Linked DNA regions of Canis lupus familiaris. The protein of the gene in region 2 interacts with the protein of the main gene of each other region in a pairwise test. Links are inferred from orthologs where the notes say so. Each region holds a gene or a part of one and is shown on either strand. Other genes may lie near its edges.

What was found.
Region 1: the proteins of GOLGA2 (region 2) and PPP1R18 interact in binary tests that used the Homo sapiens proteins (3 or more experiments, as listed by UniProt). The two-hybrid records come from large-scale screens. The link is inferred for Canis lupus familiaris from reciprocal best matches to the Homo sapiens genes GOLGA2 and PPP1R18.
Region 3: the proteins of GOLGA2 (region 2) and SNW1 interact in binary tests that used the Homo sapiens proteins (3 or more experiments, as listed by UniProt). The two-hybrid records come from large-scale screens. The link is inferred for Canis lupus familiaris from reciprocal best matches to the Homo sapiens genes GOLGA2 and SNW1.
Region 4: the proteins of GOLGA2 (region 2) and KRT18 interact in binary tests that used the Homo sapiens proteins (3 or more experiments, as listed by UniProt). The two-hybrid records come from large-scale screens. The link is inferred for Canis lupus familiaris from reciprocal best matches to the Homo sapiens genes GOLGA2 and KRT18.
Region 5: the proteins of GOLGA2 (region 2) and RAB1B interact in a two-hybrid assay, tested with the Homo sapiens proteins (2 studies listed by BioGRID and IntAct). The link is inferred for Canis lupus familiaris from reciprocal best matches to the Homo sapiens genes GOLGA2 and RAB1B.
Region 6: the proteins of GOLGA2 (region 2) and GPANK1 interact in binary tests that used the Homo sapiens proteins (3 or more experiments, as listed by UniProt). The two-hybrid records come from large-scale screens. The link is inferred for Canis lupus familiaris from reciprocal best matches to the Homo sapiens genes GOLGA2 and GPANK1.
Region 7: the proteins of GOLGA2 (region 2) and KIAA1217 interact in binary tests that used the Homo sapiens proteins (3 or more experiments, as listed by UniProt). The two-hybrid records come from large-scale screens. The link is inferred for Canis lupus familiaris from reciprocal best matches to the Homo sapiens genes GOLGA2 and KIAA1217.

The regions. Positions count from the first base shown.
Region 1 is NC_049233.1:625,434-629,595, forward strand, and holds the start of PPP1R18 (phostensin), read right to left. Parts: upstream 2,801-4,162; 5' UTR 2,667-2,800; intron 1,877-2,666; 5' UTR 1,844-1,876; coding exon 233-1,843; intron 1-232. Other genes in the region: NRM (nurim), read right to left, coding at 3,542-3,573, 4,034-4,162.
Region 2 is NC_049230.1:55,329,393-55,332,892, forward strand, and holds part of GOLGA2 (golgin subfamily A member 2), read left to right. Parts: intron 1-6; coding exon 7-50; intron 51-169; coding exon 170-233; intron 234-651; coding exon 652-711; intron 712-891; coding exon 892-972; intron 973-1,748; exon of another isoform or gene 1,749-1,770; coding exon 1,771-1,809; exon of another isoform or gene 1,810-2,107; intron 2,108-2,113; coding exon 2,114-2,176; intron 2,177-2,261; coding exon 2,262-2,355; intron 2,356-2,453; coding exon 2,454-2,560; intron 2,561-3,492; coding exon 3,493-3,500. UniProt on the Homo sapiens protein: Peripheral membrane component of the cis-Golgi stack that acts as a membrane skeleton that maintains the structure of the Golgi apparatus, and as a vesicle thether that facilitates vesicle fusion to the Golgi membrane.
Region 3 is NC_049229.1:50,824,154-50,827,653, forward strand, and holds part of SNW1 (SNW domain-containing protein 1), read right to left. Parts: intron 1,805-3,500; coding exon 1,651-1,804; intron 1-1,650. UniProt on the Homo sapiens protein: Involved in pre-mRNA splicing as component of the spliceosome. As a component of the minor spliceosome, involved in the splicing of U12-type introns in pre-mRNAs.
Region 4 is NC_049248.1:44,456,511-44,460,749, reverse strand, and holds the start of KRT18 (keratin, type I cytoskeletal 18), read right to left. Parts: upstream 2,801-4,239; 5' UTR 2,718-2,800; coding exon 2,298-2,717; intron 1,544-2,297; coding exon 1,461-1,543; intron 1,134-1,460; coding exon 977-1,133; intron 393-976; coding exon 228-392; intron 126-227; coding exon 1-125. UniProt on the Homo sapiens protein: Involved in the uptake of thrombin-antithrombin complexes by hepatic cells. When phosphorylated, plays a role in filament reorganization. Involved in the delivery of mutated CFTR to the plasma membrane.
Region 5 is NC_049239.1:51,533,912-51,538,049, reverse strand, and holds the start of RAB1B (ras-related protein Rab-1B), read left to right. Parts: upstream 1-1,338; 5' UTR 1,339-1,462; coding exon 1,463-1,506; intron 1,507-2,703; coding exon 2,704-2,776; intron 2,777-3,061; coding exon 3,062-3,157; intron 3,158-3,268; coding exon 3,269-3,364; intron 3,365-4,138. UniProt on the Homo sapiens protein: The small GTPases Rab are key regulators of intracellular membrane trafficking, from the formation of transport vesicles to their fusion with membranes.
Region 6 is NC_049233.1:1,285,955-1,290,161, forward strand, and holds the start of GPANK1 (G patch domain and ankyrin repeat-containing protein 1), read right to left. Parts: upstream 2,801-4,207; 5' UTR 2,393-2,800; intron 2,382-2,392; exon of another isoform or gene 2,303-2,381; coding exon of another isoform or gene 2,254-2,302; exon of another isoform or gene 1,575-2,253; intron 1,278-1,574; 5' UTR 1,264-1,277; coding exon 653-1,263; intron 1-652. Other genes in the region: CSNK2B (casein kinase II subunit beta), read left to right, coding at 2,254-2,302, 3,646-3,728.
Region 7 is NC_049223.1:7,015,156-7,019,213, forward strand, and holds the start of KIAA1217 (sickle tail protein homolog), read right to left. Parts: upstream 2,801-4,058; 5' UTR 2,582-2,800; coding exon 2,512-2,581; intron 1-2,511. UniProt on the Homo sapiens protein: Required for normal development of intervertebral disks.

The DNA.
Region 1 (4,162 bases), on a different chromosome or scaffold from region 2:
CACCCTGGGAGACACACCCAGGGACAGCACTTGATTTGGGACAGAACCCTTGGGCTTGGAAATGAATGGAAAATGAGGGCTACAACAAGAAGGAAGGGTGTGCATAGAGGAGGAAGGGTAGTGGCAGGAATTAACAAGAAAGAATAGAGGAAGACAAGAATACAGGGCTATAAAAAAGAAAGGAGGCCAGAGAGAGCTGAGGCTTCTGAGAAGTCTGAGGGCTGCTCCCTACCTGTTTGTGGTGCCTTTCGGGGGACCCCTTGACAAGGCAGCTGCGGCTGAGGCGGAGGTAGCCCCCCAGAACCAAGATCTCCTCCGCAGTCGGGTACCGCTTCTTCCCAACTCCAGGAACTGCAACATCAGCCGCGGCTGGGGTGGCGGGAGTGCTGGGGGCTGCTGGGGGCACAGACCGCCGGGGGTTGACTGTGAAGGTGTGTCCACTGCGGCGAGGGGTCCCCACCCCTGGCCCTGCCTTCACCCCATAGAACAGACGGTTCATGAGGGGATCCCCAGGGGACTGGGGAGCAGGTGGGGCTGGGGGTAGGGGAAACAGAGGGGCTGTTGGTGGGGGCCGGAGATCCACCGCTTCCTCTTCCTGCCTCGTAGAGCCTTTAGTCCCAGCGTCCTCTGGTGGGAAGGGGGAGGGCACAGAGCTACAGTTCTGCAGGGTTCTCAGAGGCCTGCTCAGAGCCCCTGCCTTCTCCTTCTCAGCCTCCCCTTCTCCAGCCTCTGTACCAAGAGGCCCCAGATACTTCTCAGCAGCCTCTGGGGGTTTCTGAGGTTGAGTCTCTGTGTCCCTGGGTGTCCGTTCTCGAACCTTTCCAGAGTTCAGGGTCCATTTCCAGCCTTCTGTCAGCCTCAGGCCCCTCTCACTATCCTCCACAGGGCCGGGCCTTTGCTCTGCTGCCTCCACCTCTCCAGAGCTGCTCTCTGGAGCCTCCCTTGTCAGGGTCTCTGACACCTTTGTAATCTCTTCTGAGGCCAGTGTTGGAATTGGTCTCTCTTCTTTTCTCCTACATTCCTCCAAACAGTCTTTTCTTTCTTCTTCTGAGCTGGGCCTCCACCCTGATGCCTCCCGTTGTACCAAACTCTGTTCCTGAGACTCTCCAGAGTCGGGCCTCCATTTATGGGACTCTGACAGCTCCAACTTCTGGTTGTCAGATTCTGCGGGGCTCAGTCTACTTTCCACCACCTCTTTTCTCCTGGGGCTTTGTTCTGCAGGCTCTGCCAGTCTCAGACTCCACTCTGGAGTTTCTCCAGGGCTCAGCCTCCATTTCCGTGCCTCTGACAGTCTAGAGCTCCTGTCTCCAGACTCTCCTGGGCTCTGCCTCCAGTCCCAAGCCTCTGAAGTTCTGGGGCTCAACTCTCGGGCTCCCCCTATCCCCAACTTCCTCTCTCTGGCCTCCCTGGGACTGAGCCGCTCTTCTTTTGAGTCTCTTCCCTTGGGGCTCTGATCTCGAATTTCCCCAGGACTGGGTCTCCTCTCCCGGGCCTCCAAAGGCCCAGGCCTTCTCTCTGCAAGTAACTCTTCATTGCGCTGCTGCTGCTGCTGCTGCTGGCGCTCCTGCCGAATGAATCGGTTCTGGTGCACCGGCCCAATGGCTTCTAGGAGGACAGCCGACTCATCTGGGTCTGGAGGTCCAGCCTCTGTAGTCCCAGGGGCAGGGCTAGGTTCTCCAGGAGACAGACCAAGCTTGGCCCGGCGGCGCTCCAGGATTCCCCGCTTCCAGGCTGGCATCTGGGACAGACGATCCCGCTCAGCCTTCTCCCGGCCACGAAGGGCCGCCTCCTCCTGCCGCCGTCGGGCCAGCAGCTGTAGCTTCCAGTCCGGGATGGTAGCCATGGTCGCGCGGAGGTAGGGGTGGGAAGTGCTGGGCTAGAGAACAGGAAAGAGAGGCTCCAGAGGTCCTGGGGGTAGGGGGAGGGGAAGCAGAGGGGCAGAGGAGGGACACCGAGATGGGCCCAGGCCCGGGAGGGGAAGAGTGAGAAGATGGAGGGCAAAGTAACGGGGAAACAGAAAGTGAAAAAGCAGTGGGCCCGGCGGAGGTGGCGTCGCGGCCCTGAGAGGAAGAATAGAGATTCAGGGCGAGGAGACAGCAGTCAGAATTGGCAGCGCGGGGTTCATGGTATCGGGGAGGCCCGAGGATGTGAGCGGAGAGAAGGGCGGAAAAGGAGTCGTAACGAGGGAGGCGAGAGCCCGGAGCGGCCGGGGAGCGGGGGCGGGGGCGGCGCGAGGAGGAGGACCAGGCCGGGTTTCCCCACCGCCGCCCCAGAGGCGGGGGGCGGGGGGGGCGGGGAGGGGTCCGGGAGTCCCGCCGGGAGGGAGCCGGGACTGGAGCGGCGTCGGGGAGCCGGGAGGAGCCGGCGTCCGGGGAGGCAGCGGGGCGCGGGGCGCGGGTGCGCCCACCCCGGGGCTCCCGGAACCCCGGCGCCCGCCCCCGCCCCTCCTGCGGCAGCCCCCGGCCCGGGCCGCGCCCCGGCTCCGCGCCCCGGCTCTGCCGCCAGGCCCGGCTCCCGGCTCAGCGGCCCCGCGGAGCCCGCCGTCCCCCCGGCTCGGGGCGCACCGACAGGCAACCGCGGCTCGACGGGAGGAGCCCGAGGTCCGCGCCGGGGCGGGCGGCGCGAGACACCCCCGCCCCGAGGCCGCAGCCCCGCAGCCGACTCACACGCGCGGGGCTCCCACGGGAGGGGTGCGGAGGAGCAGGCGTCCGAGGGAGGAGGAGTGGGACCGAGGGAGAGCCGGAGACGCGGGCGGGGAGGCGGGAGGGTGACCGCGACCCGGGGCCGGGCGGGGGGCGGCGACCGCTTTGTCTGAGGACAATGGGGAGGGAAGGGGGCGCGGGCGGGGCGGCGCGGGGCGGGGCGGGGCGGGGCGGGGCCGGCTCCCGAGCCCGCGCGTGGGCCCCGCCTCCCCGGCTCCCCTTCTCGCGCCCGAGCCCCGGCCCGGCCCGGCCCTCCTGCCGCGAGCCCCGGAGAACGCAGGTGTCCAGGCCCTGGCCCCCGCCCCGCCCGCCCCGCCCGCCGCGCCCGCCGCGACTCAGGCCCCTCGAGGGACTCGCAGAGGAAGCAGCCGCTGCCCCGGCCGGGCCCGCCCCTCCCCAGGCGGTGGCCTCTCCCGGCCAGCCTGCGTCACTGCGGGGTCCCGGGCGGCCACCCGGAGACGTACTCGGAAGCCCACGGCTTTGGTAACTGGCCCCCACGACAGCCGCTGCCCAGTCTTTAGCTTCAGCCCGCGTCCCATGGGTCCCGGTCCACGGCGGGGGAACTGGGGACTTGGAGGAAGGGGGCTGGGCCTCGGGGGTGTGCCCGAGGGGCCGCCGCCCAGCGGTCGCCAGAGGGCGCGGTGGCCGTCCGGACTCGACTTCGGCGTGCCTGGGCTCTGCTGGCCTTCCTTCCAAAGTCAGCCCTCTAGTTAGAGACACACTGATGGACTGCATGCCATATGTAGAAAAAACGGGCTGAATTTTATTTTTCCGCCGCAGACGTTCCTCGGGAGGGCAGAGATCTCTTAGTCACCAACATGAAGGGCGGGAGGATCCTCTCAGGTTAGAGGACAGAGCCCAGGGCCAGCGCCTAAGGAGGGGCAAGGCCTAAGGAGGGGCTAGGTGAGTCAGCAGAGCTGGCATTACCATCAAACCTGCAGACCCTGATCCTACTCCTAGGAAGGGAAGCCTGAGGGGGAGAAGGGGATCCCTGAGGTGTAGAAGGGAGCAACAGTGGGAGGGAAGTGGGCAGGCCCACCCTTCTTCCTTAGAAGGACTGTTCTTAAGGTGGGGTGGAGGTGGGTCAAGGCCTAAACTGTGAGGAAATACTGAAGTTCCCCACCCTTCCTCCGTGGTTTGGTGAGAAGTAGATCTTGGGGTCCAGTGGTTGAAATTCAGGATTAGGGTATGGAGCTGGGCCCAAGGAGTGGAGGCTCAAACAGGGGAAGGGATGGCCCCTTCAGTCCATAGATTTGGGCCTCTGGTCTGAAGCAGCCAGAGCCCAGATGTTAAAGGGCTTGGGACCAGGTTAGCTCCTCACTCGGCCTCACCTTCCTGGGGCCGGGAGAGCAAGTGCAGTTTTCTTTGTAACTGGGCCCGGAGGTAGCGGAGGTCTTGCTGGTCAAGCCCATGAGCCAGGCCCAGGTACAGGGTAAGGAGGAGAGCAAGGAGGAGGCGGT
Region 2 (3,500 bases):
GAACAGAACCATGATGCAGAAAATGGTCCTATCCTCATAGATGATAGCAAGTGAGTATCTCCCATGAGGGCAGTGGTCCCTGGGCCCAGGCGTTGGGGCAGGCCTCTGCCTGAGACCCCCTCTTTCCCGCTGGGCCTCCTGAACCCCTGACTTTCATGTTCATCCCCAGATGTCTGTCCTCTACCGAGAGCCTGCGACAGCTTTCTCAGCAGCTCAATGGTCTTGTGTCCGAGGTACCCCAGAACTTGAAACCCAAAGTGGGAGGGAAATGGGGAGGGAGAATATGACAGAAAGAAACTGAGGCAGAGATTTCCCAAGAGGGAGGGAAGAGCTCAGGAGTAGCCAGCTCACTGGGTAATGTTTGCCTGACTCCTCTCCCCTTTGAAGTCTTCCCTTTGAAGCTCCCCCAGGTAAAGGGGTCCGACCTTGAGGCTGCTTACATCATTTGACCTCTCTGCAGAAAGTGCATAATGAGAGCTGCCCAGGAGGGGATGGATGATGACGGGGGGCTAAGAACCAGGAGGAGTGGCACAAAGGAGGGGTTAGTTAGGCAGAAAAGTTTGCAGCTGATGGGCAGGATGAGGAGTCAGAGGGCTTAGGTACTGGGGCGGGCAGAGTGCGCCTCCATGTGAGCCCTTTCGTGTCTCCTAGTCTTCATCCTACATCAATGGGGAGGGCCTGGCATCTTCTGCTAACATAAAGGATCTAGAGGTAAGTGGCACTAGACCATGGTCTCAGGACCCTGCAGGCCAGCCCCCATCTCCTCCCACAGCGGGGGCTGGGTGCCCCGCTGCCAGCCCAGACAGCCCCCAACCCTAATGACTGCTCTCTCTACCTCTCCCCAACCCTCGTCCAACTCCTCCTCCTCCTCCTCCTCTGCATGCGCCTCAGAGCCGGTACCAAGAGCTATCACTAGCCCTGGACTCCAGCAATCTAACAAACAAACAACTCAGTAGCAAGATAGAGGAATTGGTAAGAGTCCAGTGGGGTCCCCTGATTCCACACTGCCAATCTGGGGCTCCAGTTTTTCCCTGGGGCTCTGAAGAAAGGGGCTGGGGGACCCTGGTGCTAAGGGAGAATGGGGTGTCGGGGGGTTTGAGTCTCAGGTGGAGGGACCCCAGAGCATGCGGCATGGCTCTCTGTGGCTGCCTTCTTTGCCTCCTTCTGTTCTCCGGACACCCCTGCTTGAGTCCTTTCCATACTTGCCCCAGGGCTGTAGCCTCTGGAGGAAGCACTGGCTTGGCTGGTGTGCTCCTGCCCTGACCCAACCCCTAATTTGCTCCATCTTTGAACTTGGATGAGTCACCTTTCCTCTCTGGGCTTCAGTCTCCTGAGGAGGTAGAATTAGAGGTGTCCAAGGTCCCCTTTAGCTCAGAGAATCAGGTCCTTCTCATTCCTGTATCCCTGCTATTAAGAACAGAACCTGGCCTGTGGGTACTTAGGCCCAGGGTGCTCAGTAAATACTTGTTGAATGAAAGCACCCTTCCAAATCACGAGCTACCAGAAGGGTAGTCTCTTGCTTCTCAACTCCTGTTTCTGGAGGTTTATCCCTGTCCTTTCACAAGGACTCTCATCTGTGTAGCTGTGAGCAAAACTACCCAAGACCCAAAGTCTTTTCTTGGGAGCTTGAGGAGACTCTTATCAGTTCGTGTCCACATGAAGTTTCCCCTTTGAAACCCATTCCTGGCCCCTGCCCATCCCTCAGTCTTGGTGTGCAGAGGGCAGTGAAAGGGAATAGACCGAGTTACCTCTCTTTGGCTCTCCCCACAGAAACAACAGAACCAGGAAACTCTGGATCAACTGGAAAAAGTAACATGATATCTTTTGTCTGCTGATTATGTGGCAGAGGCGTTTGGGGAGGATTCAGATGTAGAGGCCCATTCTCATCTTGGTCTGCTCCCAGCCTGGAGGAATAAAAGGCCCCCTTGTGTCCCCCACCCCTTCCCTACCCCTGCCCTCCTCCCACTACCTGCCACCACGCCCCCCTCCCCCCCAGTCTGGCCACATTGTTGGGCCTATCCTGCTCCACTGATGGCATATTTTGGGATCACGTCCTTTGCTGTTTCATCTCTGCCCCCTTCCAGTCAAGGATGTTGTGTCCTCCTTCCTGCAGGAGAAGAAGGAGTTTGAACAGAAGCTTGCAAAGGAGCAGGGGTCTCTAAGGGAGCAGCTGCAGGTGTGTGGAGCTGGGATCTCCCTCCTGCCCCCAGGAAATGCTTCCATCCCCTCTCTTCAGCACCCCTTTACCTTCTTTCCCAAAGGTTCACATTCAGACCATAGGGATTCTGGTGTCTGAGAAGACCGAATTACAGACAGCCCTGGTCCACACACAGCAGGCAGCCAGGCAGAAAGCAGGTGGGAGTCTAGACATCCTCCCACCCCATAGCCTGGCACGTTGGCAGGCCTTTGGTGGGATTCCTTCCTGGGCTCCTCTTTGAACTCTGTCATTCCAGGAGAGTCTGAAGATCTTGCTAGTCGCCTGCAGTCTTCCCGCCAGCGTGTCAGTGAGCTGGAGCGCACATTGTCTGCTGTCTCCACACAGCAGAAGCAGGTGGACAGGGTGAGCCCAGCTTCTGACCCACCTGGCTGGAGGTGCAGCTTCCCCGACAGGGGAAGGGGAAAGGTCCCTTCCACACGGTGGAGTGTCTTCCTGCCCACAAGGCAGCATGGGCTGTTTCTTGCTGCTTTAAAGTTTTGAGGTGGTTAGAAGCAACCAGGGCTGAGCTGACTGTCTTGGGGGACTTAGCAGTTGGGGCTGCTTTCTGGACTGAGCACTGAATGTAGAGTCCAGATCCTGAGAGACAGCCCTGCCCCCTTCACTGGCTGTGGGTCTTGGCTGAGTACAGAACAGTCTTTTTCGTATGTTACCATTTGTATAGGAAGGGAAGTATGTGTGTAATACAAGGTGTGTGAAAGGAATTATAAAAACCCAGGGAGAGGAACAGATCACCTCTGTACAGTCTGAGTGGTGGGCCGTATGAACAGATCATTCAAAAAAGGGACAGAGGATCACAATGCAAATTTAATTCCACTCCTTATCCCTGCTTCCCCAACCCAGGGAGAAAATGTAGGTGAAGAATCAGACGGACTGGATGTTTAATTCTAGCTTTCCGATGGGGATTTTAGGCAAACGACTGAATCTGTGATATTCTGTGTTGTTCACCTGTAAAAACAGACACAATCGTGCCTACCCCATGTGGTGGTCGCAAAGCTTGAATGTGATTGTTAGCATGGCAGCTGCTGACATGCTCTGTGAAGGGTCAGGAGTGTTCTGACGCTACTAGTAGTTGATAGCAGTGCCACTGTCTGGGCCTCTGCTGGCCAGCTCTGAATCTCTCCCACCCTTACCAAGTTCTAGTCCACGGCACATGACAACTTGGGCTTGGACATGGCTTTGAACAAAGTGTCAAGTGTGGCTAGGGTGGGTGAAGAAGTGTGGCTGCATCTTCTGCTGCCCAGCCCATGCCTGACCCTGCCTTTCTGTATCTGCAGCACAACAA
Region 3 (3,500 bases), on a different chromosome or scaffold from region 2:
CTTTTATTTTGTCCTGCTTCTTACAAATATACTATCAGTGAAAACAAAAGAAACAACAACAATGCCTTAGTAATATTAATAAGACTGGTCTTTGCATATTAGAATATTAATTAAGTCTAGAAGAGGGCTGAGAAAAAAAAAAAAAAAAGGAAATTTTTTATGACATGATCTAGTTGGGAGTTTGTCTTCCAGGCTCTACAGAGTGTTCTGGTAGGCAGGGAGAATGCCAAACATGGGAGAGGCTGAGAATGCAGATGGCATCTTGCAGGGTGTGAAGCAACAGATTTCAGTCCAATGAATGCTTAGTTCACTATGAACACCACGTGGAAGCATATGAAAAAAGGTAAAGGCATGGACATTGTAAGGTAAAAATCACATTGTAAGGTAAAAATCACAACTGTAAAAGGAAAGAATGTAAGAAAGTGATAAAATGAAGATACTTGGCTACAAAAATGAATGGTTTAAGAAGAGAGATTTTTAATAGGGCAGGTACATTCCTTGGGAAGTGGAGGAAGGAAATTTGCAGGAGTCAGAATGAATATTAAGAGATGGAAAAGAAAAAGGCTCAATCAAAGAGGAAGTGGTCTTGGGGAGGCAAAATAGTTAAGTCTCAAATATTTGCTTTTCTCCCTAGATGAAAAAGGTGGTCAAGCATGAGAAATCTGCCCTGGAATTAGGGAAAGGATTACGTATTGAACTGCAGTACAAGATACACAGTAACTAGGAGGACAGGTACTGTCAAATAAGTTTCTTTTTTGGAAACAAGCTAGAGATATAAAAAGATCAGTCTAGATTCATCTTTCTCCTTACTGCCTCCAAACCAACAATCAAATTCTCTTATACTGGGACGCCTGGGTGGCTCAGCAGTTTGGCGCCTGCCTTCAGCCCAGGGATCCTGGGACCCCAGGATCGAGTTCCACATCGGGCTCCCTGCATGGAGCCTGTTTCTCCCTCTGCTCGTGTCTCTGCCTCTCTCTCTCTGTGTCTCTCATGAATAAATAAATAAAATATTAAAAAAAAACTCTTATAGCTTCTAAAAAATTAATCTGTATATTAGACATATAGAAACATTCTCAAATTGAAAACAAGAAAACGGATGAAGAGAGGTCAGGATCTGCTGACTAAACAGTAACCAGCACAGGTATGATGCAAAAACACTTCTTATTATTTATTCTTTTAAACTCCTTGCCAGTGCTCTTGCCACTATACTTAATAGGAAGGAAATCAGAAAAGGAAACACTGCTGGAGTTTTCCCTGGAGGAAAGCTGTCTCTGCAGGGTTATGTGGCATTGTGCATATAGGGAGAAGGGAGGGAAAGGCACCTGAACATGAACTTGTTCTTTCATTTTCTCCTCTTACTTTCCTATTATTTTCCCTCTGCGGTAATTGCTAGATTTATAGAGGGTATGTTAGTTTCTTTTGTACATTTAATAGTTGGACATTAAGAAGCGACACAACCAGGTATAATTCTCTCATGTTCACAAAGCAGTGATACTAAGCCAGAAGAAAAAGATCAATGCCCTAAGAGGAGTACATGTCTTAGGAACTCATCACCAGGATTTCTAGCATATTGGCATTCATGTGCAGACGTTCTATGGTTTAAATTTATTTTACAAGGGTATTATAATAAGTGTTAGCACAATTATTTACCTCTAATAATCGAGGTATCCAGCCTTTCCTGTACCCATATGGGGGAGGTTCTCTTCGGGATGAGACCAGTGAGGTCTGTCTTGATCTCTGGGATCTTGCTTTTTCTTCAGCCTCAAGCTGGTCCTGAGATAGCTGAGTAGGTGCAGGTAAAAAGCTATAAGCAAAGATAATGAAAGTCAGAATTGTAAAAAATTCTCACATTAGATCATTGCAATTTGGCCATCAGAGGCTATTTTACCATAATACTTTTTTCTCTTTAGCAGGTCAAACATGTCAATGATTTATGGCAGTATTAAATATCAGTCATTTTATTTTGTCTGGAAAGAAATAAGTACTCAGAGATATACAGTAAAACACGTTTGACTAGGATGCAGGCAAATGATGCCCAAATAAAAAATTAATAAGTATTTCATATAATAAATAAACTATTGAGTTTTTATGCTTCTACGTTTCCTTTCTTATAACAAGGAAACATTCTCAGTTACCAGTGGCCAACTGTCCAATATACAGTTGCACTAGTGTCTTTCCTACTTTCATACTCCTTATTTTTAACTGCTTTACTCTTATGCTTCTTACTTTTAACTATTTTAGCATCAATACAAAAAAACAAGGATTAGCACTGAATGTAACAAAGAGGTGGACAAAAGAAAGAAAATATAAACTGCATATTTAAGTGTGTTTTACCAAAGGTATCTAATTTAGAATGCAGTTTAAAACTTAGGAAGTCAAAGATTCAAAGCAGAAATCCTAAATATGTACTTTGTTACTCTTTAATCAAAGCAGCCTTTCTACCAAGCAATTCTTAGCAACTTTGAAGTGTGATAAATGTTACTACAGAGATATCCCAAAGTACCACAAAAGGATTCCAGTAATAAATAATACATTTAATGGAAAAGTTAAGGTTTCTTTGTAATTCTTGGTTAGTAAGCATATTTCAGTAAGCAACAGAACTTATTTATTCAAAATATTTATTGAGCACTTGGGTGCAGGTACTGTGCTAGGTAGGCAGTGAGACTATAAACTGAGAAAGACCGGTTACGTCTTGCAGAGGAGAGACAATTACTCATACAAATCCACAATCACAAATTGTATTAAAGCTGAAGGAAAAAATACAGAGGGCTATACACAAGAGGGATCTATTCTAGAGTTGGGTACTATGATGGATAAGAACCCAGAGTTCAAATCCTACCTATGCAAGGTAGTAACCCAGATAAGTTACCTACCTCTCTGAACCTGTTTTCTCATCTGTAGAGGCAGATCAAAAGATGACCTACCTCACAGAGTTGCTCTAAGTACTAAATGAGAAAATCGATGAACCCCCTTCACACAGTGTCTAAATATTATTCAATACATACTTGATTATTTGGATCTGTTCCACAATTCCCCCCAATTTGGGTTTGTTGCACCTACCATGCTCCCACAAGACCCCCTATATACCACTATTATAATCTGTCTTACTGTTTTAGAATTATCTACTCATTTACCTTTCTTTTTCTCACCAGAAACTTGCAGGAATCATGCTTTCAGCTTCTTTCATCCCTAACTCTTTAGGCATTGTCTAGCTCACAGCACATCCTTTCCTACAGTGCTTTTACAGTAAACTCTTAAGAAAATTTAAAAAAAAATATTTTATTTATTTATTTATTCATGAGAGACACAGAGACATAGGCAGAGGGAGAAGCAGGCTTCTCTCAGGGAGCCCGGTGTGGGACTCGATCCCACAACTGGGATCATGCTGTGAGCCAAAGGCAGATGCTCAACCACTGAGCCACCCTGGCATCGCTCATTCATTCATTCTTAAAGATTTATTAAGTAATTTCTACATCCAACATGGGGCTTGAATTTACAAC
Region 4 (4,239 bases), on a different chromosome or scaffold from region 2:
AGGTTTCTCATGGAGTCCAGGTTGATCTCCAAGGACTGGGCGGTACGTCTCAGCTCCGTGAGGGTCATCTCAGCTTCTCCGATCTCAGCGGTCTGTGTGGTGACCACTGTGGTGCTCTCCTCGATCTGCAGGGTGGGTATAGTCCTCAGGTCCCCCCTCCTTCGCCTCCCTCCCACAGCCTCAGGCCTCTGTGTCTAGCCGGGCACCCAGCCCTTCCCCTCGTGCACCTGCTGAGACCAGTACTTGTCCAGCTCCTCCCGGTTCTTCTGAGCCAGCTCGTCATACTGGGCCCGGATATCTGCCATGATCTTGCTGAGGTCCTGAGATTTGGGGGCGTCCAACTCCACCGTCAACCCAGAGTTGGCGATTTGGTTTTGTAGACCCTTTACTTCCTAAAGGAGAGAGGATCAGAGTGAGGAGAGACTCGGGGTCAGAGCTCCGACAAGGCTCCTCTCCTGCAACTGTCCCTCGTGGGAGACCTGTGGGATCAGCTGGAGAAAGCAGCAGAGAAGATTCTTGGTTTTATACTCTGGGCGATGCCAATCCTGGGTTTTCTACTGCCGATGAATAAAATGCCACCCACTCTGCCCAAATCTATCACCTACAGGTGGTTTCTCTCCCTCACTTCACTCTGTCCCTCCATCTATCCTCCTTCCACAACCTCCTCCTTGTACATTCTTCCAGGAAGCCCTCTCAGCGCCACCTGCCCTCACTCCTCCAGCAGCCCTCACACGTGGTGCTGGCTGCTTCTATCTTTTGTCCTCTCCTCGCTCTCTCACCCATGTCCCCTTGACCCCATCACACTGCAATTCAGGTGACCGAGTATGGCAATGATCTGATTAAGGAGAGCCCGGGCTGGTAGTTCTAAACTTCTCTGCCAGCTACTTACAGGCAGGCGGCCTGTGCCATCTAGTGCCCTCCACCCCCGACTTGTTTGGCTTCCTCCTTCCCGGCCTGGCCAGGGGCCCCTGCTTGCCTCCTCGTGGTTCTTCTTCATGAAGAGCAGCTCCTCCTTGAGAGCCTCGATCTCTGTCTCTAGCTGCAGCCGAGTGACATTGGTGTCATCAATGACCTTGCGGAGCCCATGGATGTCGCTCTCCACGGACTGGCGCATGGCCAGCTCCGTCTCATACCTGGGGGCAGGGGGAGGGGAGGCGATCAGAGGGCCTCATTCTGACCCAGGACCTTCTCACTAGGCCATCTGAGAGCGCCCCTGGCCCCCGCAAACCAGCCGCCGGAGTCTGGATCAGGTGGTAATCCTCTGGGCAGCCTTCTCGGTTCTTGGGGGACAATGTTCGTAGACTGGGTTATATCCGTGAATAAATACATGGAGCCTAGCTCCTACCCACCCCGCTCTGACCAGAGCCAAAGATCCCGCTGTGAGCCCCCGCCTGAGTGGCCCAGCCGGCACCAGACGGTTCTTGGGGCCACCCCGGCCTCCCCAGCAGCCCCAGGCTTACTTGACGCGGAAGTCGTCAGCAGCGAGCCGGGCGTTGTCAATCTGCAGAACGATGCGGGCATTGTCCACGGCACTTGCAAAGATCTGGGGGATTGGGGAGAGGTGGCTCCGTGAAGGGGAAGTCAGTGATGGGGGCCGAGCCTGGCAGTGTTGTGTCTGAGTGGAAACTTCTCGATCCCAGGCATAGTCAGAGGTTCTCCTTGTGCACCCACCCCCTTCCACCTGTGCCCCCTCACACTGTCGCTCCTTTCCTGGGGCCCCAAATTCCAGAGTTCCCACCGGTCTCCCACCCCCCCTTCTCCGAGGCCCGCCTGCCCTGAAGTCAGTCAGTCCTCTCCTCGGCCCTCTCCTGGTATTTTTTTCCTAGTGCACCTGTTCACCTCCCCCCTGCTCGCCCCCATTGGCCCCTCCCACAGGTAGGCCTCCTGTTTACTCTTAGATGACTCAGCCTTAGCCACATCCGCTTAACCCTCCAATTGTCCTCTTTCAGGCAGAAGTCAGGTGTCCAGGTCCTCTTTCTGGGGCCTTATCTCCCGTCCCTCCCTCCGTGCCGCGGACTTCCTCTGCAAGACTCTCGCCCCTCCCCTTCTCCCCTTCGCCTGGGAAAGGGCCCTGCCATGCCCAGTCACCGCACTTGGAGTCCCTGTAACCGGCGTGCGTGTGCGGGGGAAGTCCAGGGCATGCACCCCCTCCTTGTGGAAGAGGGGCGGGGTGGAGATAGAAAGCAGGAAGGAGTCGGACACCCCACCCCATTAAAATTCCAATCCCTGGGGGAGGAGGAAGAAGCCGCCCACGTAACAGGGTATGCCAAGGCTCTGGGTTGGGGTGGCCCCCTTACCTGAGCCCTCAGGTCCTCGATGGTCTTGAAGTAATGCCCCCAGTCTCTGACCTGGGGGCCCTTCTTCTCCAGGTGTTCCCGGATTTTCATCTCCAGTCTCTGATTATCAGCCTCCAGGCTCCTCACCTTCTCCAGGTAGGAGGCCAGGCGGTCATTCAGGTCCTGCATGGTCTCCTTCTCGCCCTGGATGCCCCCTATGCCCGCCAGACCCCCGGCCATCCCCGCGGCCAAGCCCCCGGACCCCCAGCCGCCCCGGAAGCTGGTGGAGCGGGATACGGAGATCCGGGAGCCCGAGCCCCCTGCGCCTGCATAGACGCTGGCCGCACTGCTGCTGATGGGCCGGACCCGGTGGCTGGGCGCCTGCACGGAGCCCAGGGACCGGTAGTTGGAGGAGAAGGTGGAGCGGGCGGTGAAGCTCATGCTGCTCGGAGGGAGGGCCGGAGGGCGACTCGGGAGGCCAGGGCTCAGGCTCGGGCCAGGGACGGTGCAGCGTCCGCCACCGAAGTTATATCCTGGCAGGAGTGGGTGGGGACCGGCCCGGCAGGCCCCGCCCCCCCCCCCCCCCCCCAGGCTGGGCTGCAGGTGCACCGCGGGGGTATCGCGTCCGGGCCGCGCCTCCCCGGCCTCCCTCCCCCAGCACCCAACACCCTGGCACCCCGCACCCTGCAGCCAAGGCCGCCCTCCACCCCCCGCAGAGGCGGTGAGCAACCTGGACGGACCAGGGCAGCAGGTGGAGCCGGCCCTCCACGCGGAGTTTGGGGCAGGAAATAACGTCCTTAGATCCTCCTCCCCAGGGTACGGGAGGTCCCGGCACATTGGAATTTGGGGGTTTGGGGAGATGATAAGTGAGTGACGTCAGGTGCGAATCTCTGAACCATCCTCAGCCTGCAGCCCAAGTTCCCACCTGTGGAGAGCATCTGGGGGGGTCCTGGAGCCCCAGGAGTCGTGGGGAAGGAAAGTTTGGGGCTGGAAAGGAAGAGAAGCTCAACCCTGAGTCTCCCATCTGCCAGTCTACACCACGACCCCCGCCACACTCGGTTCTCAAACATACCCCCTTGCACCTGTTCATTAGCACGCACGCACCCACGCCCCATCGTAGCCATGTGTATTGTCAAACACCCACTCGGGGTCAGGTCACCCACCAAGTACGAACAGGTCGGTTCTCGGAATCCCCTCCCTCTTGGTCCCCTCCCCTCCCCTCCCCTTCCTTCCCCTCCCTTCCCCTCCCTTTCCAAGGAAGCCTGCCGTCAGCGGGACACTTGGTAATTTAAACGCCCGAACACTCTTCATTTCTAAACACGTGTGTGTCAGCCTTACCCACACCCTGGGGTCAACAAACACTTCCTGAGTGCTTTACAGTCCAACAAGTATTTATTGGGCACCTACTGTGTGTCAGACCCTCCTAGAGTTGCTGCTGGGAAAATAGCCCCAATAACAGAGGCTGAAATCCATCAAGGGATCGCAGGGGGTCCCACACGGTGTAGGGTCAGCCCTTGTGGCCAGCCCCCTCCCCATCCTTACTAGGATTTTTCTGCAGGTGTCCCCCCCCCCTCCTGCCTCTCCTCCCTGGACCTCAAGCCTGTCCCCCAGGACCTAGGTAGGTAAAAAGGATGGGAGCAAAGAAGTTCCCACTGCTCCGTCTGGGGCCAGTGGCCATCCCCAGCCGAGTGAACCTGGGGAATCCTGAGGTACAGGGCCTTCTGGTCTGTCACCGCGAGCAGCCCGTTTGTCCAGCAGGGCCTGACCTGGTCCACTCGGCTCTGCTCTTTGCTCTGGAGTGGACCTATTGATTCTTATCGAGCTGCCAGCTGAACTGAAGAGATTGGGGGCAGCCGTGAGGGCAGGCCTGGGGGAGGAAGGGATAGAGCCGGGCCAGGGGACCGGCCGGGGAGGCACAGCTCAGATGTGGGGCTTGGCCCTGGTTCTCCCGGGCCTGCCCTTT
Region 5 (4,138 bases), on a different chromosome or scaffold from region 2:
TCGACCCGCGCGCCCCAGGACGGAGTGCCCCCCCCTTGCCCGTCCTCTCACCGCCGGGCCCTGCCCAGCATCCCGGCCTTATGCACTGCCCCTTCCGCCAGGCCCCGCCCGGCCCAGGCACGGCCTGACCCCGCCCCGGGCACCGCCTGTCGAGCCATCCTGCCACGCCTCCCATGCCTGCAGCTTCTCGCGAGGGGCAGTGACGGCCCCTGTGGCAGGAGGGGCTGCCCCAGTTGGGGGGTGAGGCTGTCGCTCTCTATTTTCAAATGTTGCTGTAGAAATAAAGACCGTTTGAATCTGAGTCGGTCTTGTTTTGGGGCGGAGGCCGGGGGCTCCTAGTGTCTCTAGGTTGGGGGTGAGGTCGGGAGAGGCTGCGAGCGAGCGTGTGTGTGTCGCTCAGGTCCTGTCCCGCGCTGCTGGAGCCCAGATATTTGGCTCCTATCTCGGATTTGTTTGGGGGCCTCACAGATCCAGTTTTTTCTAGCAACCTTCATCTCTGAGATTCTAGAGACCGCGGGCTTGGAATTCTGCCCCTTACCAAGTAAGCCATTTCACCTTGAGCGAGTTACCGAGACTTTTCCATCTATACAATGTGGGTGACGACACCCTCCGGGGGCACTGTCTGAATTAGAAGTGCCAGCACAAGACCCCCCCAAATAAATGAACTAATGCTAACAACTCCGGGAACTGCGAGGGTAGGGATGACTACCTCAGCCAGACGTGAAACGCGTCAACCCTAGCCCTAAATTGACCTCATCGTCGGGACGCCATCAGGTCCCCGGGAGCTGTTCTCAAGTTCAGGTACATCCATACGGAGCGAACTACAAGCCCCAGAATGCAATGCGCGGCGATGATGGGGCGTGGGCTAGGAGACGCGGCCTCAGTTTACGCCTGCGCAACCGGGAGAGAGTTGGGCAAAGTAAGGAGACTACAAGTTCCAAGAAGCAATGCGGCAAGGCCCCAGTCGGGAATGTTTGCGCCTGCGTGTCGCGGGCGGGGCCTCTGGGGCGGAGCGGCCACCATCTTGAAACGGGAGGCGGAGCAGAGCTGACTGGGAGCGACCGAGCGGGCCACCGCCGCCGCCATGAACCCCGAATAGTGAGTGAGCCCCGCCCGCGCCGTCCGGCGCAGCCTCGATCCCGAGTACGGGGCTGTACGCTTACCGGGGTTGTCCGGCCTGGGTCAGGACTCAGCGGCGCCCCCACATCCGGGTCCCTCTTCCGCTGACCCCCCCCCCCTCACATCCGGGTCCTGCCCCTCCCCCTGGGGGCCCCAGGACCCTGGCTCGGTACCCCGAGTTCTTGCACCCGGGACCCAGACACTGCGACCCCAAGGGGCACTACTTGGAGCCCGAAGCACCGGTCCCTAACAGGCCTTATTGGTCAGGTGAACCCGCAGCCTCGGTCTCTCCAGGCCTCAGTTTCCCCACCTGCTGCTTGCAGTGGCAGTCTGGGTGCTGACGATGGTCCCGGCGTTTTGGAGCCGGTCCAGCCTCGGGCCTTTTAGGTCTGACAGTAAATCTTTCTATTTTTCCCGTTCTCCTGGAATCCGGTTCCTGGGGCTGGTCGGACGCGGCAGGCCCCGAGGCGCCGCTCCGGGTCGCTCTCCCGTGGGTCCTCCTCTCCGGGGCTACAGCTTCGCCCCTTGCCTCCGTCTAGCCGTCCTGCCGCTCCTGGAAACCAGTCCCTTCCCGCCCTCTCCTCACCTTTGCGCAGGCCCCCAGCGCCACCGTCACACCCCTTACCTTCGCCGTCACGCTGTTGATGAAGTTTAGATGAATATGGCATTTGTTTCTCCCATTCCAGTGGGATTCTCTGTACCTCAGACTCTCCTCACTTCTTGGTCACTCCCCCTGCGGATAGGTGGCCCATATCTCTGCCCCAGACTTCTCATTGACAGTTTTCCCCAAGTGTCAGTTGTCTTCTTCCTCTTCTGTCACTTCCTTTTTCTCCTCCAGATCCAGGCCTCAGATTTCCTTAGGTAAGGGTGAAGCTCAGAGCTGGATTATAAGGGACACAGAAGGGAACTAACAGGCTCTCACAGAGACTTTGGGAGTCTGAACCTGGTTTCCAGTCTTAAAGTTAACAGCTGTGTAACTTAGAGCAAGTCACTTCCCTCTTCTGACCTCTGGTTTCCTCATTAGTTAGAAAGAACACCATCCATTTCATAGGGCTGATGTGAGGCATAAGTGAGATGATGCATTTGCAGTAGTTAGCACTGGATCAGGCACAGAGTAGGAACTCAGTACTTAACTTTAACTGCCGTCATTGCTACTCGTTGACCACCTCTTCTTAGAGGCTTCATACCAGGCTCTTCACATAGATATTCACTTAACGAGTTCTAGGCTGGACCCTAACTACCCTCTACTGGCCCAGAGACCACGGAGTCTGTCAAGTGTCAGGGTAGGACACTCAGCTTTTTCTCCTAAGGATTGTGATCCTTGGCAAGTCGTATCCCTCTCTCTGCCTCAGCTTTCTTCTCTATAAAGTGGAAATTCAGACTCAGCCCTTTGGGCCAGCTGTAATATGGGGAGAGGTGTCAGCCTTCCCCTTCCCAGGACTTGTGAGAGGATCTTGTGAGTGCTTTAATACTCTAAACCAAGGCAAGTCTCACAGCATGAGAGAAGACCATAGTTGTAATGGCAGATGACATGGCTGGTGGGCTCCCTGCCTTCCTTCATATCTTCCCATCCTTTCTCTCTAGTGACTACCTGTTTAAGCTGCTTTTGATTGGTGATTCGGGCGTGGGCAAGTCATGCCTGCTTCTGCGGTTTGCTGTGAGTAAGGAGCCTCCCATACCATCCACCTGGGGTCCTGGCTGGTGGCAGGAGGGAGAGGGGGCAACACTGAGCACAGGAGGTCCAAGACCTCGGAACCAAGGATGAAGTTACAGAACCTCCCGTAGCGTCTCTGAGCAAAGACACAGGGCTGACAGGTTGGGGTGCTGAGAATGAGGGCTTAGCAGTTACAAACTTGGCTGGGGCAGGGTCCTGGAGGGAGATTTTCCAAATGGGCTTTGGGCTTGTTCACCTAGGCCATTTCATTGCTCCCTGCTTTTCCAGGATGACACATACACAGAGAGCTACATCAGCACCATTGGGGTGGACTTCAAGATCCGAACCATTGAGCTGGATGGCAAAACCATCAAACTTCAGATCGTGAGTGTCGCTCTTCCCAGTCCCTGGTGCAGAGGCAGCCACCTTGGGAAGGGAAGGGCTCTGGGCAAGTAGCTCAGAGCTGACCTGCCCTTCTTTCTTATTGTCTTATAGTGGGACACAGCTGGTCAGGAGCGGTTCCGGACCATCACTTCCAGCTACTACCGGGGGGCTCATGGCATCATTGTGGTGTACGATGTCACCGACCAGGTACTCCTGGGGTCACATCTCCAGCTTTGCCTTCTCAGCTTTGGGTCTTTGGTTCGTTTTTGTTTTGTTTTTTTTCCTTAGGATTTTATTTTTTTAAGTAATCTGCTTACCCAACATAGGGGTTGAACTCACAACCTGAGATCAAGAATCACATGCTCTACTGACTGAGCCAGCCAGGCACCCCAGGTCTCTGGTTCTTATTTCTTTTTACTCTTCCCATCCTGTCTTCTGGATGCTGCCTTGAAGGAAGACTGTAGTTGGACTCATTTCACAAGGGAAACAGCTACAGAAAGTGCATCCTCCTGAGGCCCTGCTCCCAGCCATTGGCAGAAGCAGGCCTTACACCTCCTGGCTAAACTTGCCACCTTATTCTAGACTTTATAGGCACCTACATTTTGTAAGGGTTTAGTCAGCTAATCGGTTGCTGTGCTGGGCTTATGGCTTCCTGGGTGAAGACACTATGGAGAAGCAATAGGAGGGCTTTAGACAAAAGAGGTGAGGCAGCTCTGCACTCTGGGTGCATTGCGAGCAGAGATAGGAGCCCTGTGTTTGCTGTGGCAGCATTAGTCATGTGTCACTGGCAGCAGTGGAGGTATTAACATGGTGAAATAGTCCCACTGTACCTTAAGGTTTATAGAACTTGTCATGGTCTTTTTTTTTTTTTTTTTTTTTTTGGTCATGGTCTCTTAACACTCTAAAGAAGTCTGCAGTAGCTTCCCATTTTACAGATGAAGAAATGGATCAGAGTGATAAGGAGACTTGCTTGGGGCTGTG
Region 6 (4,207 bases), on a different chromosome or scaffold from region 2:
GCTCCATGCACCGGGAGCCCGATGTGGGATCCGATCCCGGGTCTCCAGGATCGCGCCCTGCGCCACCAGGGATCCCCTATATATATGTATATAGTTAATCCCCTATATATATATATTAACTATATATATATATATATGGTAAACCGTCATCCTAACACTTTACATATATTGACCCATTAAATCCTCACAATTCTTTAACAGGTGCTCTTGTTACCCCCCATTTCTCAGATAAGGAAAATGAGGCACATAAAAATTAGGTTGCTTGACCAAGTAAGTAGAATCAGAATTTAAACCCAGGGAGCTGGGACACCTGGGTGGCTCAGCGGTTGAGCGCCTGCCTTTGGCCCAGGGTGTGATCCTGGAGACCTTGGATGAGTTCCACATCGGGCTCCCTGCAGGGAGCCTGCTTCTCCCTCTGCCTCTCTCTCTCTCTCTGTGTCTCTCATGAATAAATAAATAAAAATCTTAAAAAAACACACACACAAAAAAAACAGGGAGCTCACATTTACTACTACTCGATTCCATTGCCATATCAACCTACACTGGGGATCAGGGAGAGAATCTTTGAGTCTGTTCCGGAGCCTCTGGCATGGAGGGACTAGGAAGGGCAGAACACACTGAAAGATGGGCATGGGTTAAGGCTTCCTCTCACCGGTTCTCTGGATTCCTCGTCTCTCCGTGGCTCTCTCGGACCATGCGCGCCACCTCAGGAAAACCCGCTTCTTCAGCCAGCTGAGCAGCATCCTTGCCACCCAGCTCACAGACACCCACCCAGGCAGCTCCACGGCCCAGGAGATAGCGCACAGCAGCCCCCTGGCCTGCTCGAGCAGCACACATCAGGGGGGTCCACCAGAAGGCATCCCGAGCATTGATATTGCCCCCCGCTCCCCCTGCCTCGTGGGGATCCAAGAGCCTTCTTAGTTCTGCTAGGTCACCCTCCTGGGCTGCCCTCAGTATCCAATGGGTCATCTTGTCCTCTGCCTCAAGGGATCTCCTTTGTCCATGTCCTGCTGAGGCTCCTACAGCAGCTTCCCCCATCATTCTTCTCTTCTTCCTCTTTCTTTTCCTGTCAGGTTCAGGCTGAGATCTCTGGGATGCAGGGATGCTGCTCTCTTCTGCAATCAGGGCCTCATAGAAAGCCCGGGCTGCAGCCCCATTCAGGGTGGGCTCCAGCTCTTCAGGCTGTGACTGCTGCTGCCCATCTTTCCAGAGGTCACTGGGGTTGGTGGCCGGGGTGAAGGTGATGAGGGAGGGCCTGGACATGGCTTTTGGGAGAACTGAGACAATGAGACTAATTAAAGGGCGTATGAGACAAGCAAGCCAATCCCTTGGTGGCTCTGCACTGACCAGAACCACCTCCACAGATCTGCTGGGATGAGGAAAAGTAGCCTTTTCCAAGTCAAAAACCCGTCTTATACTCTAAGTGACCCCACAACCTAGGACCCTACAGGGCCTAAGGACCATAGGTCATGTGGAAAAACAGGGAGCCATACAATAACAGCCCATATCCCTCGTAAAGGTTAACTTAACAAAGATTTAATGAGAATTGCCCAGAGGCCCATCCCTATCCTCACCAATAAGTAAAAACAGCTTCTCTCTCAAACTACTTGATCACCAGGTAAGACGTGCAGTTAAGAAAACAATCAGCCTAGCCCTTTAAATCTTCCTTGATCCTATGTCAGGGTAGGGTCTTTCCAAACAAAAACAGACTTTTAACCTTCTCCGGATGCAAGAAGAAGATTTGGGGGAGAAACTCCAGTCTCTGTGGAGACCCCACAGGGTCTCTGTACCACAAAAATTTTATCTAAGCAAAGGTGCTGCCAGTCCAATAGCCACACGACCCAGACACACATGTGTGACTGAAAAAAAAATCAACCACCACAAAGCAGAACTTGAGGGTGCGGGCGTGTGCGAAGCGCCAGGCTGAGCCTTCGCACGGTGGGACCCTCCAGGATGCCACGTGCCCAGGCAGCGCGAGGACAGAGGCTCTGTCGGTTGGGGTCCTACTTCTACATAACGCCCCACAATGCCCTTCGCCTCCCGGAACGTGGCCCCCCACTCCGAGCGCAGTTTTTGGACCTGCGAAACCACCGAGTTAAGGAGGGCTCTGAGAAGGCGGGAGGAAACCTGTGGAATGCCCCGAAGCCGTGAAGTGAAATAACGTCACGCCACCCCTCACCATTATTCTGAGCAGGGTTCGAAGGTCACACTTAGTGCCCGCAGCAGAAGGCCCCATTCAAGCTCTGAGAGGAGATGGAAAAGTGCAAGGGGACGAGCAGCAGAATGGCTGGCGCCACTTCAGGTTAGCGCACAGGCCGTCCCAATTCTCACACCGCTCACCTCAGCCCAGCCCACTCTTCCCACGTCCCGCAAGCAAGGAGCCCGGCCTCACCTCCCGCCTGAGGAGACTAGACCCCGGGGTGAAGCACCGGCCCGGGTGGGGCCTCCAGTGGCGGGCCTGACTCTGGCGAGAGGCTCCGCAGGCAACAAGGACCCGGTGGGGTAGTCGGGGACGAGGTCAGCACCCTGGGCTGCCGGCAAACACCTGGGGCAGAGCCTCGCTGTGTGAGGGGAGTTGCAGGAATCCAGCCCTCCAGCCCCGTTCCTTCCCCGCCCCCTCCCGGCCCCTCAGTTGCGCGACCCTACGACTCTATTTCCCATACTCCCTGGCCCAGAACGGGGTACTGCGCTTCCGCTTCCGGTGGTATCCCGCTGCTCCCCACCCCCGAGCGTCTTGTTCCTGGGCCTCGCGACGCCAGGGTCGTTCGTGGGTCATCCTGGGATTCGTAGTTCGCCTGTTCTTCGCTTCGCCAGTTTCTCTTTACCTGGGACTCCATTTCCCGGCGTTCACTGCGGCGCCCGACCCTTGGCGCTTGCGCGTTGCCCTCTCCCCACCCTCCCCAATTTCCACACACACCGCCCCCCGCCCCCCCCCCCTCGCTACTTCGCCTGCCGCGGTCGGGTCCGCGGCCTGCGCTGTAGCCGTCGCGGTTCTTTGGAAGCAGCAACTCCCCTCCCCCACCCCGGTCCCGGTCCCGGTCCCCGCCCAGCCGGTGAGTCTGAGGTCGTTGCCGCATCGAGTCTTCCGTCCTTAGGCGCGGCACATGGGGTCTCCGCGCGTTGGTGTGGGGGTGGGGAAGGAAGTGACCCGGTCCGGCACCGGGGGAGGGAGGGTTGGCCTGAGAGGCGGGGTGTGGGGACTCCTGTGAGAGGGACCCAGGGCCACCTCCAGGTCGTGAGGGGAAAGGGTCCTGGCTTTTGCTTGGAAAGGATAAACTTCGGAACCCTTGGGAAAGGTGTCGGGGACATGCGGAGACCTGCGGGGTAGGGATCTCGAGCCGAGAGCCCTGCGAGGGAGGGACTTGACGTAAAGAGGAGAGGGTGCTGGTTTTCGGGATTGTTAGGGGTGTGGGTAGGACGGGTGAGCCTAGACCTGTCGGTTTTTCAGAAGTGGTGGGACTCCAAAGAGCCTCTAGTGAATAAGAGGAATTGGAGGCAGGTGCGCCAGGGTCTAGGATCCTTTAAGAAAAGGGGGCTCCAAATTCTTCCATGGTCGGGGAGCAGAGTGTGGGGAGGAGGGAAGGTACCAGAGACAGGGTGGGGGAGCTTGGCCTTTGTTTACCCTCTTTTTTTTTTTTTTCCCAGCTGACGTGAAGATGAGCAGCTCAGAGGAGGTGTCTTGGATATCCTGGTTCTGTGGGCTCCGTGGCAATGAATTCTTTTGTGAAGTGAGTTCTCAATCTCCCAGCTATGTCCGCACAAAGTTTGGCTGTATGTTTTTCCACATATTTAGCTTCTACTTCTCTTACAGGCTGTCATAGAAACTTTTTCCTGTCAAGGAAGAGTCCCTTCAGTAACTCCCCTCACTAATTTGTGAAGTGGCAAGACTTGCCCATCCCAAGCCTGTTACTGTCCAGCGGTGTAATATTGGAAAAGTCAACTTTATTACTACTACTACTACTACTGTTATTCTTATTATTATTGCTAGGCTTGTACTAGTAGTGCTTAATTTGGGAGCCTATTAGGATTAAAATGCCGTTTATCAAAATGTTTTGTAACAGGCAAAGTTTTGTGCTAATGATATAATGGATTATAACTGCCCACAGGACCCAAGCTGTTTAGTCGCTGCTTTTCTTAGAGTTCTAGCTGCCGGTAAGGAGAGGACAAAACTGGTCTGTAGAGATGGGATCAAGAATAGGAACAGGGA
Region 7 (4,058 bases), on a different chromosome or scaffold from region 2:
TTGAATCTCTAAGGAAATTCTTTTGGCCTTCCTGCCTTCTCTTTTTTAAGATTTTATTTATTTATTCCTGAAAGACACAGAGAGAAGCAGAGACACAGGCAGAGGGAGAAACAGGCTCCTCACTGGGAGCCCGATGCAGGACTCGATCCCAGGACTCCAGGATCAGGCCCCCAGCCAAAGACAGATGCTCAATGGCTGAGCCACCCAGGCGTTCCTTGTCTTCACTTTCGATATACATCTAGAACCTACCTGTCTTCTTATCACCACCTGTTCTACTACCTGCTGGTCCAAGCTACTGCCTGGTTTACTGCAGAAGCCTCCAAAATGGCCTCCCGCCTTTCCCCTACCCCTACTGGGGTTATTCTCAGGATAGCACCCGGTATTTCCCTTTTATGTGACAAGTCGGGCCTGCCAGCAGCTCCCTACCTCCTCTGAAATAAAAGCTCAAATCTCTACCATAGTCTCACAGCCCTGTGTGACCCGGCCTGGCATTACCTCTTAACCTCTTTTCTCCCGGCCTTGCTGCTCTATGAACATGTTCTTGCCTATTCCCTCCCTTGCCTCTGTCAGAGGTTTATTCAAATATACACGAGTAAGGATCTCCCTGATAACCTTGTCTACTACAGTTTCACTTGCAACCCTGTGTACTCCCTGTTCCCTTTTCCTGGCTTATGTTTCCCTGTAGTCTTATTTCCACTTAATAGAGTTGCTAGATAACATAGGAAATGCCCAGTTAAAATTGAACTTCAAATAAATAATGAATAATTTCAGCAGAAGTATGTCCCAAATATTGCATGGGCTATACTTATGCAAAAAAAAAAAAAAAAAAAAAAACTATTCCTTGTTTATCTGAAATTCAAATTTAACTGGGCATCCTGTAATTTTTATTCGCTAAATCTGGCAACACTGCCATCTAACATGCTATATATTTTTGCTTACCTGTCCATTGCCTCTCTCTACTACCCTCTCCCCTCCAGACTGGGCTCTTAGAACATAAGTTCAATGAAGGCAAGTATTTTCCAACGACTTTGTTCACTGCTGGATCCCCAGCAGCTAAAACAGTAACTACTACATAACAGATGTTCAATATTCACTGAATGAATGAGTAAATGAATAAAGTGATCACACTCCCTCAGCCCCGACCATCTCTCCAGCCTCTGCAGCATCTTTTTTGAAAGCCATTTCTTAAATTGGTCCCGTTCTAATTGCCCCTCCAGATTCTGTGTCATTTATTTCAGCAGAGGCCCAAAGACTGAATCCCTGCTGTAGGCTCCCCTCTTATCGAATTGGGGGTGGGGGTGGGGGATGGAAGGGAAACCTTATCTTCCACTGGACCCCTCCGACCAGGCGCCCTCAGGGAGGAGCGTGCTCTGTTTTAGAAGCACAAACACAGATACCTAGACTGGTGACTGTAAAACCGGGGGATTCCTCAGGGTTTACTAAGCTTAAGGTCTCCTGAGTTTCACCGGGGAGGGAGTAAGGGGTGGGGGGTGGGGGTGGGGTGCAGGGGTGTTCTATCTCTCGCAATTCCATTTTCTTCTGCGTAGCTTAGTTTTGCATTTTCAGTGTAGATGAGTCATTTGTTACTTCCCTTTGGCCTTTTTAAAACACACACCTTTTCCCCTGTGCATAATCAATCCCTACTCCCACTCGGAGCACAGCCGCCCCGCAAGCGCTCCTCTGGCTCTCTGGCCGCCGCCTGAACCCGGGGTGGCGTGGGCGGGGACGGTTTCGGATTGTGCGGGTTTACCAACAGGCTGCCTATAGGACCCGGTATGATAGGCTCAGGCATCACAGACGTCAGAGAGCGGAGAGCAGAGAAGTCCTTTGGCCACCCAGCCCCGCTGTGCAATTTCTTTGGAACAACATAAGCTGCTGGAAATTCCCTACGGAAAAGACAAGCCGATCACAAACACAATGAAAGGAAAACTGCCTGCGGAAAATTTACCAAGATGGTCTTACAACTCCCGACTTTTGAATCAGAGCATTGAGAGATTCACACAGCCCCATCTATCATCCGGAGGTTACCAGCGGCGCCCTGCAGTTCTGATCTGGAAAAGAAAACGTCCCCGCAGTCTGTAACGTAACTCGAAAATTCCGCAAAACTTGCAGGGAGCAGGCATCTGCCTAACGGGACTCCCTCCCGCCCCCAACCAATGAATGGAAACGCCGCGGTCCCCGGGGCGGCTTTTCCCAGACGCGGCTCCTCTTTCCCCCGCGGCCGGAGCTGCGCGGACCGAAAGCCGCCCCGGGCGGTGTGTTTTGTCACCGCCTGGAGACTGAGCACATACCGACTGCTCCCTGTGCCCCCAATGTGGCACCCCCCGCCACCGCTCCTGCCGCTGGAGAAGGGCCTGCCAGAGATGCAGCCGGACCCAGGGGTCCCAGGTCTGCCCTGGGCCCCGACAGCGCTGCGCCCCAGGACGGCGCCAGGTCGGGGCCCTCGAGGGCGGCGGGCGGCGCGGAGCACGCGGGGCCCTGACTCCATCTCCGGGCGAGCCGGGGACTTACCCTGCTTCTGTCTGCCGTCTGCTGAGCGCGGGACGCACGGCTCACATTTCTGGCTTTCGCTTTCTTCCATTGTCCCCGCCTGCGGCACAAGCTCCTCGCTGCTCTTTAAACTTCAGAGAGCGCAGTTCTGAGAGCTCCCAGAAAGCGCCTGGAAGGGGGCCCGGGGGTGGGGTGGGGAGGAGGGGACCGTGCGAAACCCCACCCCAAACTACTCTCCGCTCCGGTGCAAAGTCTCCCAAGCCCGAGAAAACTGCATTCCAGCGTCGGGCCGCCCCCGTCCCTCCGTGCCTGCGTCCCCGCGTCCGTCCGTCCGCGCGCCAGACTGTCCCGGAGGAAGCGGGGGGGTGGGGGGGGTGGAGGGTGCTGTGCTCGGAGCCGCCCCTGCCCCTGCCCCTGCCCCTGTCCCCGACCCCGGGCCCTGCCCCTGCCCCCGGGCCCGCCCTGCGCCGCGCGCGCCCGAGGCCCCAACAGGTGATGGGCTTCCCCACCCAGGACCCAGACCTGCCTGTTTGCACCGCTGCAGACTGCCCCGATTCCGCAGCCAGGGAAGGGACACATTTCACACAGGGTCACCGGCAGGCGCTGGAAGCCACTTCTCTGGTTTCTTTAATCTCAGACACAGACAGAGTGAACCTCCCCAAACAGGCTGATTTACGTATTACTAAGCAGCCAACTGCTGAACATCCCAAATTTCAGTGAAATCCAGAAAGAAAGAAGAGAAAAGAAGAAAAAAAGAAAAGGAAAGAAAAGAAAAGAAAAAGAGAGAGAAAGAAAAAGAAAGAAATCCTATGTGCCGAATGTTGTTAAGTAAACACTTTCTGGCGATAACTGTTTAGAACCTGATTAACACATACAAAGAGGTTGTTTACTTTTCACACAATTTCAATCACTTAAAATGAACTTTAAAAAGAGTTTGTACTCCTTCGCCTAGGCTTTGACACTTCCCCTCTCCCCAACATACACACACACACACACACACACACACACACACACACGGTCACAAATCTGAAAAGTAAACTAGTCCAATCAACCTTCTGAAGTTCTCGAGTTAATTACTTTAAAATATCTGAAAGGCAGTAAGATTGCTTTTCTTCGGATGGGCAGAGTGGCATCCAACATACTCATTCTCCTTTTAAACCATCTACAAATATTTATTTTGTTCTTTACCCAGTCCTTGAAAAACTGGCAAATTTCCCAGAAAGTGAAAATAGGAGACACAATGTCCACACACATACACACAAAAAAGATGGGAAAATAATCTAAGCAACGTTAGCTCTGCCATTCCAGCCATCTAAAAAGTAACACAATCACTAGTAGGAAGAGTGTGATATTTTCATCTGCAGCGGCCCCATCTTTCATAGGGAAAAAAAGAACAATGGTTAGCCTGCTGACCATACCTTGACCCAGTTGAACACCCCACTGGGGCAAGGTTTAGATTAATTTAGATCAAGAATCCATGCAGAACAATGGTTGGCCCATCCTCCAGATTCTGACCTTGAGTCACCTGTGTGTTTTGGCAGTATGGGGGACATATTTTGGCCTTTCAG